3 linked regions of the Mus musculus genome follow. The protein of the gene in region 2 interacts with the protein of the main gene of each other region in a pairwise test. Links are inferred from orthologs where the notes say so. Each region holds a gene or a part of one and is shown on either strand. Other genes may lie near its edges.

Region 1 (6,028 bases), on a different chromosome or scaffold from region 2:
TAGTGGGAAAACAAATTAGGATTACAAGGTGTTCTGAAAAGGCCCAAAAAAGTATTAACAGGAAACCAAGGAACAGAAATATAAGTGACTTCAAAGACAGATACATAATATACACTAAAAACAAGAACTAAACTCAAGTCTTTAACACAAAATCTGATATCCACAAAGTTTCCCTGTATCACACACAGTATGACAATGTTAAGGGCTCTCCCACCCCCCCTTTAGAGACAGGGTTTCACTGTGCAGCTCTGGCTGGCCTCAAGCATTTTCAGTGCTGGGATTAAAGATATGTGTACCTCACACCTCTCACAAGGGATCCCACTTCTGTAGTTAATGCCATACAGACTGTATGTGTTCTGATGTAAACAAACAAAAACACACTTCAAAGCTAGTTTCAAATACCTTGCATTATTAGTATTTTGCCCCTGTTAACTTCTAGAGTCGGTACATTGTCATGTCACCATAGCAGATATGGGCAATGAACATTCCAAAATAAAATGTACCACGCTGGGAAAACGCTGTTCAGCTCTAAAGTTTACTAGTACAACTAAGTCTTTTGAGAATCAGGGCCCACCATCTGGCATCATAGGCACAGAAAAAGCACTACAATTTCATAACTGACATTTTTGATGAACTGTCGAGGGTCTCCACCTCTTTAACAACAACTTGAGGAGGAGAAAAATCAAGACTTTTCTGATGTACCCTTTCTTCAAGAAACAATGTTTGTTCCTTAGTGGAAATTAAAGCATCCTAAATATAAGGGGGTGTTTAAGAGCCCCAATGCGAGTACACACTTAACTCTAAAGTTTTACGCTTTCAGCGTCCATAATTACAAAACTCCAGTTTTATTTTCGCAGTTACCCAAACAGGGCAAATAACTTCAACAGCTGATTTTAAATTCCAGGAATTCACTCATACAGAAATGCACAGCTAGAGCGAAAACTTAACGACCTCAACACTAATAGTTCCATTTTGGACTTTTTTTTAACTTAAATATGGTGGTTTATCCTATTGTTTCTTTGGCGAAAAGTTCAGTCTCCACAGAGAGAAAAGTTTTGGCAGTATCTTGGGGCTGAAAAGAAGGATAAAAGAAAGAAAAAAAAAAAAAGCCCAAATTCTCCGGTCCGGTAAAAGCAATCGTCTTGAACTAGGAGTGGGACTGGAGTCGAGGGTTCTCCAGAGGCCTCCCCACCACAAGACATCTTTAAGGAGGCTGTAAAAATCTACTTGGCCCACGTTCCTTCAGGGGTTCCTCCGCCCGTCCAGCCACGTTTCTGGCTCGCAGGAGCAGACACCGGCTGGCGAGAGGGCGCAGGAAATCACCAGCGGGCGGTGGCGACGGGGTCCAGACACTTCCCGCGCAAGAACGGGAAAGGGGGGGTAGCCCGGGGCCTAGCCGCACTGGACAAAACCAAGGCGAATCCTCGGGGAGAGCAAGCTGCGGGGCCGGTCACCTGAAGTGGATGTGTGAATCCCGAAGTAGGGTCCCACGCCGTGCTGCTTAGTGGCAACGAGGAGACTCGGAACACCAACCCCGGACGCCGAAGCTCCTCAGCGTGCGCTTCGCCCAACCCAGCGCGCATGCGGAGCCACCTCTCACTGCGCAGGCGCCGACAGAAAAGGATCCTTCGTTGCCACTAACCATAGAGTCTTGGTCCTCCTAATATGGGCGGTGTGAACCAAGGGACGAGCTGAAGAGTCACTGCCCCTGGTATTTATAGATTTTTTTGCGGAGGGAACTTGCTAGGTTTAAAGGAGAGGTAAGTTTCTGTTTCTTGCTCCAGGATGATCGCTTTAAGTTTTAGTCAACCAAGAGAGGGCGCTGTGACGAATGGCGGAAAGCCGAGGAAGAGGAGGAGCGTGATCCTCTCCTGACCCATCCCTCAGAGCGTGCTGGGTGCCGGCGACTCGCCGGAGGGAGGGGCGGTGGAGAGACCCGGAATTCCGGACTGTGCGCGCTTCCACATCCGGGCATTCCGTCTCCTCCCCCTCCCTCAGTCCTCGCCCAACAGGAACCGGAAGTGGGAACCGGTTTCCTGGTTGCCTCTTAGCAACGCAGTTGTCAAGTGACCCGGTCAGCTGACTCCCGTGGAGGCGGGCACTGGGGTAACCGGTTCTGGAGGTGTTGCGGTCCCGATTGTCTCGCCGGGGGGCCCGAGCCGAGTCACCGTCAGGATGTCGGGCAAAGACCGGATTGAAATCTTCCCTTCGCGAATGTAAGTTAAAGACTAGGACAAGCGACAACCGTGTTCAGGCACATCTTCCCGGCGCGCATTCCTGCGTACCCTTGGCCACCAGCAAGGTTCCTTGGTTTCTGGGTCGCTCCTTGAGCTTTCCCCAGGGTCTTCGTTTCCTCTGAGTTCCGAGCGAGGTTTCTTTCCAACGCTCCCCTCCCCTGCTGTTTCTGAGAGAAGAGGCCGGAGAAAGTGGTTCCAGTCCACAGGAAAAGGGGGTTCACCTGCTGGCAGCTTTTGGAGGTCGATGCCTTTACTCACTCATTCCGCACACCCTTTGAGCCACACACGGAGTTTACATAACTGAGCCGTCGGCGCCATCTCTACCTCCCAGGGCTCATCATTGCTGAGGATTGAGATGTAGACGCTGAGGTCTGACCAAAGCTCCCAGACGGGAAGTTATGTGACAGGGAAGCAGCTAGAAGGCCCCTCAGCCAAAGTGACATTGAATGTGTCACCCTCTCGCAGCTGTAGGTTTCAGTCTTGGATCCCGTCAAGTGTTATTTGCTGTGGGAAGATATCCCTGCATTTCTGAGGTATTCCTATAGCCCTGTGATGACTGCACTCTTTACGTCTAGCAAGTGTCACTCATGACACTGTCACGCGGGTATTTATTTGGGCTGTCTCCTGGATGAAGGAGGCATCTTTTTAATGCATAGAAGGTCCACAGAAAATTGTTCCTTGAACCCTTGCTTGGGATGTGCTCAGTTACAGGCCGCCTTTCTGCTTTGGGTTAACATCCTTGTTAGGAGAAGTGATGAAGTGAAAACTTGAAGTTTTCTCAAATACATATAATAACTTGTGGAAAGAAAAGGGTATTTGTGCTCTCATCTTCAATTGTTCCTGAAGAAGGAAATCAGTTTTTATTCTGATAATTAGGTCTCTCACTGTGGTCCTGTTTTGGGGCCTGTTTAGGGTTTTGCGTGTGTGTGTGTGTGTGTGTGTGTGTGTGTGTGTGTGTGTGTGAGAGAGAGAGAGAGAGAGAGACAGACTGTATTGTTTACCTTATCCTATGCCTTTTTACTTATAGACCCAAGGACTCTTAAATAGTTTCATTTAAACCACAGAATGAGTTTCTGTCTCTGCCAGGGTATATGTAGCTCTGAGTGAATGAAAGGGTTTAATTATTTAAAAACAAAACAAAACACTTTTAACCTTCTCCCCAATGGCTTTGAAATGGCAAGTTATACTAACTGTACAAACCTGCCAGCTGTGGGGAAGTGCAGTGCTCGTGAAACAGCTAAAGATCAGGACGACCCTAGGGTGATCCCAAAGCCAGCATGTAATGGCCCCATCCAAACTTTACTGAGACATCCGATTCCAGGGTGGCTTCTGGAAACACAAGGACATATCCTAGGATGACCACAGTTCTCCTCCCCACTCCCCAGCCACTAGCCCCAACTGTAATGCCACTGAGTAATATCTCAGAGGCAGAGCTCTTGCCTGGCATACAAAAGGCCCTGGGTTGAATCCCCAGCACCTAAAAGTAGAAATAACCATGCCTGCCTCAAACAAACAAAACTCAAAGCCCATAGGAGAACTAAATACTGGTTTTAGCTGACATCTGATTGATAGATCCTAGACCTCTCTTTGAAAGAAAAAGGGTTTTTAATTGAATATATAGTTTATCTAACTCATAAATGTGTCAGGGATCTGAGAGAACCCTTCTTCGTAAGGTAATCAACCAGGACAGGGTCTCTGTGTCTCTGTGGGAGGCTAGAATCCTGACTTCTGTTCCTGTCAGAGAGCAGGCACAGTTGACACAGCCACAGGTGGACTTTCCCTTTTCTGAGCCTGCCTGAGTGCAACTCATGCTCTTTAAAGTGCCCAGGCACACCTGTGTGAGCCAGAATGGCGCTCACCTTTTTGCTTTGCTGCTAGTGGTCTTACTGTTATAAATAATGTCTGGCCATATTTAATCACTATTTGTAATGCTGGTATGTTTTTATTTTTATTTTGGGACTTTTAATTTAAGACTACAAGGTGAAAAATGGGCTTCTTTGGGCTCAGACAGGAGAAATGATAGGTTTTTTTTGGGGGGGGGGTTGGGTTTTTTGAGACAGGGTTTTTCTGTATAGCCCTGGCTGTCCTGGAACTCACTCTGTAGACCAGGCTGGCCTCGAACTCAGAAATCCGCCTGCCTCCACCTCCCAAGTGCTGGGATTAAAGGCGTGCGCCACCACGCCCGGCTCGAAACGATAGGTTTGTGATCCTGAAAACTGTTATTTGAGAGCACTCTGCTTGCTAGCTGAGAGGAAGTCAGGGGTGGGAAGTAAATATTTTCCCCAAAGCCTGACAGCAGGTTCTTTGTCATATAGTCAGATGTCTTTGATTCAACGGGAGACAAAGTCAATGTTTTAGTTGAAGGTCAAACTTCTTGTTTCTTTGTTTTTTTTTTTTTTGTTTTTTGTTTTTTTTTTTAGGGCTAAGCAGCTTTGAAACAGAAAAGAGCAGGTTCAACAGCTGCCGTGGTCCAGATCACACAGTACTGGTTTTGGTTTCTCCTTCATTCGCTTGGTAGTATTGTCCTGTGGAATGTTGCTTTCATTTCATGTATCACCAGAGAACATGAAACAAGTCTGGATGGAAACAAAGGAGGTCCAAAAGGGATGTGGTTCAGATGGTAGAGCACTTGGCCACAATACCCTGGCCACCACTTGCTAATACTACATAAATCTGGGTGTGGTGGCACATGCCTGAAGCATTGCAGACCAGGGGTTCAAAGCCAGCCTGAGATACATAAGACTGTCTCAAGGGCGAAAAAGGCACAAAAATTGGAGTTAATAGAAGTCAGGTAAATCTTGGTTCTTGTAACTGTTAGGCAAGTCACCTCTAATTCATTATTATATATCCCAGGCTGACCTTCAGCTTCCAGTCTTATTGCCTTCAGGTCTCAAGTGCTGGCTTACAGCTGTTCACCACTCCCTATCCAGCTCTTTAGTCTCTGTAACTGAAAACTTTCCATTTACAGAGGTACAGTCATCTAGAACGACCTTTAGTTGATCCGTCAGTTCATCCATGAGCTCCAAACTTGTAGGAATCTGCAGTGCTGGGATTAACTTAAATTTTATCTAAGTTTCTTCCCATCCACACCCCCCCCCCTTTCCTGTGTGTATGTGTTGCATTCAAGTATGTGGGTGCTTGTGCCTGTAGAGGTCAAAACAGGATGTCTAGTGTTTTTTTCTTCAGTTGCTTTCCCCCTCTTTGCCTTGAGACAGTCTCTTATGGAACTGTAAGCTTGTGGTTTGGGCTAGACTGGCTAATGAGGGTGCTCTCAGGATCTCTGCCCACCAGTGCTGGGGCTACAGGCACATGCAGACATTTCGGGCTTCCTCCTGGATACTGGCTCCTTATGCTCAAAAAGCAAGTGTTCTTACGCACTGAATCATCTTCCCAGCCCCTCTTCCAATCTTTTGAGTCTTAATTCTGGTATTTAGTGTCAACAGTGCAGAATGTTCAGTATACACATTGGTGTGGCTAGCTCTTGCTTGGGCTGGAAACTGAACCAGCTTCACTGGATTAGACTCTGGTGGGAGGGTCACGGCAGTCACCCACTGCTAACTACCCTTTCAGATGGAAAACTGTTCAAGTGCCATAATGTAACATCTTTCAGGGATGCACTGTGGAACTGGGGTCTAGTGCTCTTAGGGTTAAGCCTTCTTTTGAGTCTTGGGTAAGTCATTAGAATCAAATCTGGTTCAAATTCCTGTCTGCCTGACCTCCAGTGATAATAAGATCTTTGTTTATGACTTTATTGTTACAACAGTAATAGAAATATAATATATCATTGTGGA
Region 2 (5,977 bases):
GAAACCCTGTCTCCAAAAACCAAAAGAGGGAAAAAAAAAATTAAAGAATACAGAAACCTTCCCTGTCCTTCACCCTTTGTTGGTCAGCTTGCAATCACCTCTGGAGGAACTCACCCCGAAATCTCTCTCCTCAAACTCCCAATACCCACCACCCACCTCCCAATCAGCTTCACCCTTTTGTTTTCCAGGCAGGTTTTTTTTTGTTTTTTCTTGTGTAGCCCTGGAACTTATTGATCGGGCTGGCTTCAAGCCCAGAGATTTGTTTGCCTCTGCCTCAGGGAGTGCTGGCATTAAAGATGTGTTCTTCACCCTCTCACACAGGACCAACAGAACCCTCAGTACCCAGGCTCTACAAACACTGTGCACAGCCCCTTCAAGAGCCTCCATTCACCTTGTCTGCATTCGAAGTCAGCTGTAATCATCTCCCAGCAGGTCACACGGGGCACAGGCATTGCCCCAGGCCCTTCAACCCCCTAGACACTGCTCTGCCCACCACACCAGGCACCTCCTGCTGTGCTATCATTGTTTGCCAAAGTGCAGAATTAAAAAAAGTCAACATGGCAAGGACTTAAAAGTGAGACTTCACAAGGTTAAAAAAATTTACTCCAACTTTTATGTCCACCTGACATTACCTCGGCTCCCCAGGCCTCCTTCAAACCTCTCAGCAGCCACCCAGTTCCATCTATACCCTAGCATCCCACAAGGTCCCACCACTGACAGGTCTCATGGCTGAACACACCTGACCAGCAACTCCTCAAATCACCAACTTCAAGTCCTGTCCCTGTCTACAAGACTTTTAGCTCTGCAGAGAAACATCCCAGCTTCCTCCTACGACCTCCCTTTTTGCCATAATGGGGAAAACTGCCAGCTTCTGTGTCACCTTCCACTGTGGCATCTGCCAATAGCTTCTGCAGACCACCCCCAACCATCACCGCTAAGCCTGGACACCTCTTAGGATGTTAGTTTACAGGAATTCTACTCAAGGTTTGCTGACAGCAGAGACTGCTCTCGGAAGCTGAAGATCTCGGGAAACCTCTGCAAGGTGGGACATGACTACACTCACACCCCACTACCCCTGGAGCAATGTTTTGGTTTAACCCTGGGTCATCATCAGGCTTTTATTGAAACGGGTTGGGTGAGTTTAGCTGCTTCTCTTTTGCCCCTAACACTTTTACCTTAATGGCAGTGATGGCGAAGGCTATTTTCCGCCGCCCATCGATGTTGGTGTTGAGTACTCGCAAAATGTGCTGGAACTTCTCAGGGATCACTAGAGACTGAAAGAACACGGGCAGTTATCAAGACAGGTTACCCCCAAACCGGGAAGGTGGCCGAGGCAGGGTTGGATTGTCTGCTAAGTTCTTACACAACTCCTCAGTCACCGGGGCTCACCCCTAACGCGCTCAGGCGCGGGAAATCGCAACCTCTGACAAGAGGGTGGACGTCGGCCGCGGCCCCCAATTCCCTGGACAGGGGAAGCGGGAGGAGCCCACACACAGCCAAGCTCCTGGCAGCTTTGCTGTGTAAGAGGAGCGAGCATTCCTCGGGGCCCCGATCCCCGGGATTTCACGTCTTAGGTCGTCCCCTCTCGGGTCACACTCCATCGCTCCACAGAGGGCTGTGGGCCCGCAGCATGGGGCACTCTCTGAGTCCTGACGGAAATCTCTCCCTGCCCCGGCTCCGATGTCGCAGGATCCCGGCGCGGATTCCGCTCTTACCATGGCGGCGGCACAGACGGCGGCGTGTAGGCCTCCTGTGGAAGAGAGAGCGGAAGTGACGTATAAGTCTTATATAGATTCCTGGCGGAAGAGGCGGGGCTATCCCCGGAGGTCCACTTCCGGAAATTGCTTCTCTCCCCGTCTCCCCCTAAGGGAGGAGTTGTATTGAGACAGTTTTGGAAGGGACCGGAGCTATAACTTCCGGTTCGGCCTTCTCTGTCGTCGTACCGTTCTTGTGTGGGCGCGGAGCGAAGGTTCCGGAACAGAGTTGTGTTCGAGACGTTCACCTTCCTGTTTGCACTTGACCGAAATGATCAAAGCCTAACCGGAGAGGCTGGAGCCGATCGCCTTAGCTCAAATATCTGGGACCCTTTTTTGCTCCATAGAAGACATTCCAGGACTTGTAGCTTTGCTTCGGGAAACGGACTTTCTGAGACTGACAGCTGCCGGAAGTCGGAAGTGAAGCTGCGGGGGAATGGCAGCCGCAGCGACCATGGCGGCCGCTGCCCGGGAGCTGGTGTTGCGGGCTGGGGCCTCAGATGTAGAGGAGGAGGAGGGCCCGCTGGTGAGAGCACGGGGCTGTAGGTCCTCCGGAGTATCGTCAGGTTGTCCCTCTCCTCAGGCGTAGGCTCCATTTAGACAAGAGGTTCGGAGCCGTCTTGCCACGGGTGATGGTGACCTAGCCTTCGTAGGGACCAAAGTGGCTGAAACCCAAGCCCCAGGGACAGTGTCAGCTTCCTGTTCACGATTTTTAGTAGAAAAAAATTTTAGTGTTTAGCGTAAAAGGTTAAGAACGTGGCCTCTGGAACCAATTTGCCCGGGGTCCCACCTCCAGCCCCACCGCTTGAAAGCTATGCTGTGTTTTCGGTGCCAAAACTTCCCACACCTTTACAGTGCAAACGCTGTTAGGACATACCTTATAGGTGGTCGTTAGGATTAGCCGAATGAGCATGTTAAATGGTGTACCAGACACAGGGGTAAACACTATGTAAGCTGGCGATTTTAGCCTCTGGAATTCCCTCAGGGATCACCTGGAATAGCTGGAAACTGAGGTCCTAAATTCAAAGGCAAGTTTGACTAGTCCTAGTTTTTTCTCATTTGAACAACTCCAGCAACTCCATGAATTGCCTGATATTCTCAGTAGCCCAAGATTGTAGATTTGAACGCATCAGAATCTTTGACCCACTTACTCCGGCACCCCCCACCCCCCAAAGCACCCCCCACCTCACTTGGAGGATTAAGGATACCCGATTATGTTTTGTTTCCAACATCTCTTTCTGTATCCCACATTCATTAACCTGTCCCTCTTCAGGGGGGGGGTTCTGGACTCCAAGAACCCCTACAACTTGGAGAGTTGGACATCACCTCTGATGAATTCATCTTGGATGAAGTGGATGGTAAGTGCTGACATGGGGTGGGAGCAAAGTAGACCCCTTTATTCTTTAGAAATATATTACATGACCCCAGTAGATTACCCTCTATGGTTTCTTTCTTTTGTATGTGTGTGTGTTTTTATTTTTAATTTATTTTTATTTTTTTGGTTTTTTTTCGAGACAGGGTTTCTCTGTAGCTTTGGCTGTCCTGGAACTCACTCTGTAGACCAGGCTGGCCTCGGACTCAGAAATCCGCCTGCCTCTGCCTCCCAAGTGCTGGGATTAAAGGCGTGCACCACCACCCCCCGGCTGGCTTTTTTCTTAATGTACAGATAAAGTTTAATCCATGAGTTGAGAAGGCTTAACTTCTAATTTAGGAATAGTAAGAAATGAACAGTACGAGTCGAATAGTCACAGCAATACACTATAATAAAATCGCAGCATCACTTTTTCCCCTTTGGGACTATTGTTGAGTAAGAATACAGCCTGGTTGAACATACATACGCAGACAGCTAAGACTGAGTGACTGGGAGGCAGGCACAGCACACACCATAGATTAACGGAGCAAAGATGTTTCAGATCCAAGCCCAGGCGAGAGGTTCTCTAGCTTCTCAGAATGCCACACATTTTAGATCTTACAAGCCACACTTTGGAAATCCCCTTTTAATATTTTCCATCTGTGGTCGAGTAGACCATGAGGAGCAGAAACAGCAGGAAGTCCCACCGGGCAAAGCAGCTGTGCCTATAACTGGAGAGGGTGGGGGCTGGGAGGGAAGGGGAGATTGGTGTGGTGTGCGTGTGCCCAGTGTGGGCAGAGGGAGGTCTGGCAGGGGACACTAAATATAAGCTTGTTTCCAGTTCACATCCAGGCAAACCTGGAGGATGAGTTAGTGAAGGAAGCTCTCAAAACGGTGAGGCTCTCCACTGGGTTGATCTCCCCACCCTCCCTTCCTTTTGGGGTCCCCTCAGCTTAGTGGCTCCCCTCTAGCCAGTCACGGAGTCTGTACTGGTTGTCCTTCCCCCCAGGGTGTGGATCTTCGACACTATTCAAAGCAGGTGGAGCTGGAGCTGCAGCAGATTGAGCAGAAGTCAATCCGGGACTGTATCCTCCAGCCTCACAGGCACAGGGCCAAGATGGCTGCTATTGGCATGGGCTCTTGGGGGCCTGTGATGCAGGTAGCCCTCAAGGGGATGTCTTCTCTCTCAGGCTTCTGTCACTTTGGGGAGGACCTGGGGGCAGGTACTGCAGATCGGCAGAGCTCTGTGTTCAGTGTGAAGCCCTTGACTTTTGTGGGTCAGATATCCAAGAGAGTGAAAACATAGCGTCTCTGCACAATCAGATCACGGCCTGTGACGCCGTCCTGGAGGTGGGTGGCCCTCACCTGTTGCCCCAAATCTGACTTAATTGCCTCTTCCTCCTCTTCCTCCTCCTCCTCCTCCTCTCCTTCTTCTTCTATCAGTATTTTTTGTCCCCCTTGGACAAGTGATGATCTCCCATCCTCCTGGGTTGCTGGGTACCAGGGATTTGCACAGAGACTTGGTTGACACACCTGTCCTTGTTCCCCGACAACCCGGAGTCATGCCCACAATGTTTCCTGCCCTCCCCACAGCGCATGGAACAGATGCTGGGAGCTTTTCAGAGCGATCTCAGCTCCATCAGCTCTGAGATCCGAACCCTGCAGGAGCAGTCGGGGGCCATGAACATCCGACTTCGTAACCGACAGGCAGTTCGGGGGAAACTTGGGGAACTTGTGGATGGGCTGGTGGTGCCCTCTGCTCTGGTCACGTGAGTCACTGGTTTGAAAGGTAGTAATGTCCAAAGCAGGTGGTTGGGCTGGGTTACCTAAACAATTTACAACATAGGTCTCTAGGCTGGGGTTGTCAGGTACCATCTAGAAACCAGGTGTGCCGGCTCATGCCCGTAATTATATGCTTGGGAGGCTGAGACAGGAGGATTGCTGCAAGTAGACTAGCCTGGGCTATAGAGTGAGATCTTGTAATGGATGGATTAAGAACTTCGAACCCTGCTTTACCCTCCATAGGATAGGACACAGGTTAAGAGTGCTCCAAGGCTACATGAGGAAGTGTGGCTCAGGAGATGAAAACTTTGTACATATTATCTTGAAGGCATGAGACCACAGAGAAAGGCAGAAATGACATGTGAGGTGTGAGGGGGCTCTCTCAGGGCTGTGGGGTACCCCGTCTAACCACACCCATTCTCCCGTGCTCCTCAGAGCAATTCTGGAAGCTCCAGTGACCGAGCCCAGGTTCCTGGAGCAGCTACAGGAGCTGGATGCCAAGGCAGCCGCGGTGAGAGAGCAGGAGGCTATGGGCACCGCTGCCTGTGCTGACGTCAGAGGCGTGCTGGACCGGCTCCGGGTCAAGGTGGGGAGTGGTCTGCTCAGAATCAGCTTTCCAGGAGCTTCACACTGCTTCCCGCTGTGCAGAGCGTGGTTGGCCCTCCAGATCCCCTGAAAATCTAAAGAAGGTTGAGATGTGGCTCAGTTGGCAGAGCGGTTGCTTAGCATGCATGCAGCCCCAGGTTCCATCCCCAGTGCCATATACATTGGCATGATGGCACAAGTCTGTTGTCCTAGCACTTGGGAGGTGAAAGGAGAAACGAGAGTTTGGGGCCAGTACAGATACATGAGACCCTGCCTCAAAACCAAGCAGTGTTCACCTTGGCAGCATAGACACTAAAATTAGAACAATACAGAGAAGATTAGCATGGTCCCTGTGCAAGTAAGAATCATATTTACAAAATGAAACAACCCAGAAAAATAAGGCCGGGTGTGGTGGTGCAGGATTTTAACCCCAGCACTCAGGAGGCAGAGGCAGGCAGACCTCTGTGAGTCCCAGGCCAGCAAGGGCTGCACAGAGAGACCCTGT
Region 3 (6,232 bases), on a different chromosome or scaffold from region 2:
AAGGACAGTTATGAAGTAGTAACAAAATAATTTTATGGTTGGAGGGACACCACACCGTTGGAGCTACATTAAAAGGTTGCAGCATTAGGAAGATTGAGAACCACTCCTCGAGTATATGAGGACAACCTGGCCTCTGGGGGAACCGGAGGCCTTGGCACGTGTCTTCAAACATCTTTGAGATGGCTCATCTACACTCCACTGAAGCTGCAGCATCTTTCGGAGCCCATTTCCCCATAAGTTTCAAGCCCTTTCCTTTCTACCCAAAGAACACAGGGGTTAACAGTTTTCACCAAGTAAGCTGCTCATCTGTAACACAGCCATGAGAGGCCTTCCCTTCACTGGGATGCTGCAAAGATTAAATGAAGTCATGTACATTAAAATTCAGGCAGAGTATCAATAAATGACCACGCCAGCAACCCAACTACTGAAACATCTACTATCCCTTCGTGCTCTCAGGCCTGTACCCTGCATGGAACACCACCTCCGATCTCATTTAAGAAAATCCCTTATCACTTCACTTATACGACACTGTGACTATATCTTGGTCTTGTTCCTAGATCAGCTTGTGGGTTCCACCAGGGGAGAGTTTGGCTAGAATCTTCTATAATCTCTGACCCACAGAGTTTGCCCGGTACTCCAGGGGTATGCTCTCTCCCTTCCTCCCTCCTTTTTTGAGACTGGGTCTCACCATATGGCCCAAGCTGCCTCTCCTTTCTCCATCCTCCTACCTCACTTCCCCCCTCCCCTGCCCCCCCCCATGTGCTGGCATTACAGGGGGCTGGCACCACACCCAGCTTCGATACTTTTATAACGTGCCCTATAGGGTCCTTTCCCCCACCTCATAGGATCTGAGTTTGCGGATTGAACTGGAAAACCGTCTCTTTCAGGTCCAGCACAAATGAGGTTCAGAAGGGGCTGAGGATGGGATGGGCAACAGTAGGAAACGAGGACGATATGGAAGGGAACCAGGGGTTGAGGCTATACATTTTCCTTGACAGTCCCAAGAAGCCACCATTCTCCCAGGAGATTGTACTAATCCCCAGATGGGCTTGGGGATCAGGGCCATAAGCCAAGGGCCCTTGGGTAAAAGCCTTCCCTTGCCACCTCCCCCCAGTGCGGCACGTGGAACCAAGTCTCTCCTTCCCTCCACCCCTTCCCCATCTCACCTGAGCCTCCTGCACCTTCCCTGCCTGGGTCTCCAGAGGGTCAGAGGCTGGGGAGGAGGGGAGCAGACGTGGTTACAGTGCGGGGAAAGAGTTAAGCAGAAGGGCTCACAATGGTGGAGGACAAGAGGACCCACCAACCTAATTATTTCAGAGTCAGGGATGGTAGTAAAACTATCGGAGATGGGAAAAGGCATATTTTAGAGTGGAGGTATGTGTGACGTGAAAAGGCTGAGGAGGGGAATCTTTAGGAGGAGAAAGCAGGCGAGACTGGACTGAAGGAAGGTTTCAGAGTTAAGCAGGATATGGTAGCATGTGCGAGTCGAGAGAATGAGGGAGGGCTAAGTTTTTCAAGAGACGTAAGTAGGGATACTTCTGCTGAGAGTTGAGTGTGGGAGAGGAGATGCAGTGAAGGTAGGAGGTTTAGGAGAGGCACAAGAACTGAAGGAATGAGATAGTAAGGGGCCACAGGGGTCCCCGGAACCCATCCTACAGTTGCCCTTAACAACAGACAACCTTAGCAACCGGGATAGTGGTAACTTTGGTCCTTAGCAACGAGGGTCCTCAGCAGCCAAAGTACGAGAAATGCGATCATTAAGAACTTGACAATCGGACCCTTACATTTCACAATCCAGAAACCAACCAACCTAGTAATACGGACCACTTAGCAACACCCCTCCGAATCCCACTCCCTTCAGGTAGATCCTGTCTCCCGCCCCACCGAGCCTACCCTCGGGCCCCGGGGCCTGCAGCCCAAAGCCAGGCCCCGGCGCGGCCCGACCCTCCCACCCTCCCAACAGGGCCCCTAACTCACGGTCCGGCTCGGCCATGGGAACGGGGTGGGGGCCCTCGGGACTGTCACCGACTGCTCTGTCCCGTGACGGCAGCGGAAACAAGAAGAGGCCGAGATAGGATAGAGAACTACAACTCCCGGCAGGCAATGCGATCCCCATAACCGCTTTCGTACAATGTGCCTCTCATGTTATCAAACTACAAATCCCAAAAAGCCTGGCGCCGGCGGCCATATTGATAAAGGGCGTCTGGAAAATGTGGGGAAACTCAGCGAGCGAATGTCCACCTCATTTTTCTGATTGGCTGTGGTGCAGTACAGGGGCGGGGTGTAGCTATTTAAAACATTTTGATTGGGTATATGAGGGGGCGTGTTGGGGAATTCCCGATAGGGCGGAAGCACTGGAGCTCATCGCAGAGCCCAGCGACAGGCAGGCGACCACAGGGGGCCACCCGAGGTGGCTGGGGCCATGGCCGGGGTCGCGTGCTTGGGGAAAACTGCGGATGCCGATGAATGGTGCGACAGCGGCCTGGGCTCTCTAGGTCCCGACGCAGCGGCTCCCGGAGGACCAGGTCTGGGCGCAGAGCTTGGCCCAGAGCTGTCGTGGGCGCCCTTAGTCTTTGGCTACGTCACTGAGGATGGGGACACGTGAGTAAACCTTAAATTACTAGACTGAGCCCTGGGATCTTACCTGAGTCCCCTTTAGCCTACGATTCCTGTGACTTCGTATCGTCTCGTTCCTAACTCTTGATTTCCGATGCTGGACTTCCTGGCCCTTAACCCCCAAACACTAAATTGTGAGACTGGTACGCTTTCACACAGTCAAGTGTCTCACCTTTTTTGAACTCTATAAATTTGAGCTCCTGATCCCCAAATCGGATCTGAACCTTTCCGACCACTCTAGTTCCCACATCTTCTTACCTCTTACTTCCAGATGTAGTCTTTGGTCTTTGGCTATTCTTGTATAAGCCAGATTTTGATTTCAAAACTAGTTCTTGGCCCTGAGTCTCTGAAGCTGACACGTCCAGTATTGACCCTGCAGTTAAGAAATTGAGCTGGTGGGTGTCATGGCTCTCACAGCACTTGGAAGGCAAAGGCAGGTGGATCTCTGTGAATTTGAGGCCACCTGATTGAGTTCCCTGCCAGCCAGAGCTACATAAGATGTAGAAACTCTATTCTATGAGGCTAGATTCATCTGTTAGCCAAATGCTTCTCCCAAACTACCACCTTCCAATCCCTGGTTTTAGTTTAGCTGAGTGTGATGGTACACACTTGTCATTCTGGCACTCGAGGGGCTGAGGCAGGAGGATCACTAGTCCGAGGACAGCCTGGAAGGACCCAGTATCAAAAAGGAGGGAAGAGGAAAAGGAGGAGAGGGTGACTGAAAAAAGGTTAAAGAGTAGGAAATGTTGATTAGTAGATAAGCTGGGGAGAAGGGATGGTTGTGGTGACGGCGTGCATTAAGGGATTGTACCCGGGATTTTCTTGTCCTTTGTGCTTATTGCGTATGCCCAGTGACTCAGTGCCTGACCCATGAGGGGAACCCAACAAACACTCATCTTAAAGAGCCAGGAGTAGTTGCCTTAGTTTTCACTTTCTACTTTGTTGGTTCCTGTTCCTTTATTATTTCCCTCTGGTTACTTTGGGTCTGGTTTTTGTGCTTTCTTTATCCTCCCCCTTCCTTTCTCGATTGTTTGTGTTTGACGGTCTCATGTAGCCCAGGCTAGCCTTGAGGTTACTTTGTAGCTGAGGATAGCTTTGAACATTTCATTCTCCTGCTTTCAGCTCCCAAGTGGGTATCACTACATCCCGCCTGGGGAGTGTGTGTGTGTGTGTGTGTGTGTGGACTAGAGGGCAACCTTGGGCTGCACTGAGCACGTAGGCTAGACTAGCTGGCCTGAGAGCCTCAGCGGTCATCTCTTGCTCTCTACCCTCCTCTTCCTCTTTGAGACAGGGTGGCTGGCCTGGAACTCACTATGTAAACCAAGCTGGCCTCAAACTCATCCACCTGCCTCTGCCTCCGGAGTGCTGGGATCAAAGGCGCGCACCACTGTGCTCCATTCCAGGGTTCTCCTCCCTAGTGTTGGGACTATAAATACTTACAATCACACCCAGCTTTTTCTTATGTGGGTTCTAAACTAAGGTCACTGTGCTTTACTTAGCAAAACATTTCCCAGCCTCCAACCCCACCCCCCTTTTAAGTCAGTGTCTCACTATGTAGCCCAGGCTAGCCTTGAACACTACTGTAAAAAAAAATGAATCCTTTTTTTTTTTTCTTCCGGCCACTTAATTCCCAACAATAAGGACTCTGGCATTAACTATTTATTAATAAATGCCTTGGCTACAAGCTTTGGCCCATTCCATAGCTAACACATAACTTATTTAACCCATTTAAATCATTCTATGTTTTCCTTCAGTCTCGGGCCTGCTTCTTCCTTAGCATCGTCTTTCTCGGTGTCTCTCTCAGTGACTCCTCCAGTGTCTCTCCCTGTGTCTCCTTTTATTCTCTCACTATTTCCCAGAATCCTTTCTTTTCCTGCCAGTGTCCCACCTCCTATTTCCTGCTTCAGCTCATTGGCCGTTTGCTTTTTTATTGACAGGTGTTGCCTATAAGAGATTCTGTCTACACATTATGAAATTTTTCTTTGGTTTATTTTATTTATTTTTGGTTTTTTGAGATTGGGTTTCTCTGTGTAGCCTTGGCTGTCCTGGAATTCTCTATGTAGAGCAGACTGACGTTGAACTCAGAGATATGTCTGCCCCTGCTTCCCAAATAATTTTACTTTATGTGTATAAATGTTGGATCCCCTGGAACTGGAGTTAGGGATGGCTATGAGCCACAATGTAGGTGCTGAAAATCAAACCGGGGTCTTCTGCAAGAGCAACAAGTGTTTTTTGTTTTTTTGAGACAGGGTTTTTCTGTATGGCCCTGGCTGTCCTGGAACTCACTTTGTAGACCAGGCTGGCCTCGAACTCAGAAATCCGCCTGCCTCTGCCTCCCAAGTGCTGGGATTAAAGGCGTGCGCCACCACTGCCCGGCAGCAACAAGTGTTCTTAACTGCTAAGCCATTGCTCCTACCCTACCCTACTCTTGGTCTTCCTGCCTGGAATTCCGGGCAAGGTGGTGCGTGCCTGGTTTATGCAGAGTTGGGATTGATCCCAGGTTCTTATGCACGCTAAGCTAGCAGTCTACCAAGCAAGCCACTGCCCAGCTCATCTCTCTTCTTTTCTAATGTGCTTGGAATGCTGTAAATATTCCCTCTGGAGAACTTCTGATATATTGTGTTTTTATTTTTGCATAAATGAGTATATTTTCTAATTTCTCTTGGTTTCTCCTTTGGCCAGTAGGTTATGAAGAAGTATGTTCATTTTTCACGCTTGGAGGAGTTTCCAGATCTCTCTGTTACCAGCTTTAAATTTCATTTTACTGCGGGCAGAGAACATGTTTTGTCTGATTTGCGGTCTCTAGTTTTTCTCTTGCAGCGCTGGCCATCAGACCCAGGGCCTTCTGAGTGCTGGGCGAGTGCTCTCGGGAACTGTGTGCCGGTGGAATTCATTTTGACAACGTGTGACTTAGAGGGAATGTTGGTTAGCAGTGTTGTTCAAAGCTGGGCGTGTGATTCCAGCTACAAAGAAGATTGAGGCAGGAGGAGCTCAAGGTCAGGACCTGCCGAGGAATAGAGTGAATTCAAGTCCAGGCTGGGGACATTCACAGCGAGGCCCTACTTCAAAATGAGGGGAACCAATAGCAGGTAGCTCAGTGGCAGCCAGCGTCCCTGCATGCAAGCTACCTTAGGTTCAGTCCTCATGACTGCAAAGACAGGGCAGCAGCCACCACAGAGCCCTGCCGTTCATTTGCTCCTGCTTTCCTACTTGTTGGAACAGTTGGTGACAGAGACCTAGTGAAGTTACCACACCTATGGATTCGTCTGTTGCTTCTTCTCCTTGTTAGCTTTTGCTTTATGTAATTTGAAGGTCTGTTCTTAGAGCTACACTGAGTGTGTGTGTGTGTGTGTGTGTGTGTGTGTGTGTGTGTCTGTGTATGTGTGTGGTGAGAGCCATCGTATCCAGCTTGTCTGTGTGTATGTGTATGTTTATGTGTGGAGGACAGAGATCCATACTGGCTGTCTACCTCGATTGTACCTCACTTTATTACCGTATTATTATTTGAGACAGGTCTCACAGTGTAGCCCTAGCTGACCAGGAGCTCACCATGCAGATCAGGCTAGCCTGGGATTCTCAGAGATCCACCGCTTTTGCCTCTCTCACATGGGCCGCC

The links. The genes of interacting proteins can lie anywhere in the genome.
Region 1: the proteins of Vps52 (region 2) and Atp6v1d interact in binary tests that used the Homo sapiens proteins (3 or more experiments, as listed by UniProt). The two-hybrid records come from large-scale screens. The link is inferred for Mus musculus from reciprocal best matches to the Homo sapiens genes VPS52 and ATP6V1D.
Region 3: the proteins of Vps52 (region 2) and Nfkbib interact in binary tests that used the Homo sapiens proteins (3 or more experiments, as listed by UniProt). The two-hybrid records come from large-scale screens. The link is inferred for Mus musculus from reciprocal best matches to the Homo sapiens genes VPS52 and NFKBIB.

What each region holds. Positions count from the first base shown.
Region 1 is NC_000078.6:78,857,607-78,863,634, reverse strand, and holds the start of Atp6v1d (V-type proton ATPase subunit D), read left to right. Parts: upstream 1-1,996; 5' UTR 1,997-2,175; coding exon 2,176-2,216; intron 2,217-6,028. UniProt on the Homo sapiens protein: Subunit of the V1 complex of vacuolar(H+)-ATPase (V-ATPase), a multisubunit enzyme composed of a peripheral complex (V1) that hydrolyzes ATP and a membrane integral complex (V0) that translocates protons.
Region 2 is NC_000083.6:33,953,903-33,959,879, forward strand, and holds the start of Vps52 (vacuolar protein sorting-associated protein 52 homolog), read left to right. Parts: upstream 1-1,897; 5' UTR 1,898-2,190; coding exon 2,191-2,280; exon of another isoform or gene 2,281-2,782; intron 2,783-3,027; coding exon 3,028-3,112; intron 3,113-3,946; coding exon 3,947-3,999; intron 4,000-4,114; coding exon 4,115-4,190; intron 4,191-4,387; coding exon 4,388-4,455; intron 4,456-4,698; coding exon 4,699-4,874; intron 4,875-5,322; coding exon 5,323-5,473; intron 5,474-5,760; exon of another isoform or gene 5,761-5,870; intron 5,871-5,977. Other genes in the region: Rps18 (40S ribosomal protein S18), read right to left, coding at 1,176-1,274, 1,716-1,718. UniProt on the Homo sapiens protein: Acts as a component of the GARP complex that is involved in retrograde transport from early and late endosomes to the trans-Golgi network (TGN).
Region 3 is NC_000073.6:28,762,613-28,768,844, reverse strand, and holds the start of Nfkbib (NF-kappa-B inhibitor beta), read left to right. Parts: upstream 1-2,200; 5' UTR 2,201-2,422; coding exon 2,423-2,601; intron 2,602-6,232. Other genes in the region: Sirt2 (NAD-dependent protein deacetylase sirtuin-2), read right to left, coding at 1,167-1,213, 1,978-1,993. UniProt on the Homo sapiens protein: Inhibits NF-kappa-B by complexing with and trapping it in the cytoplasm.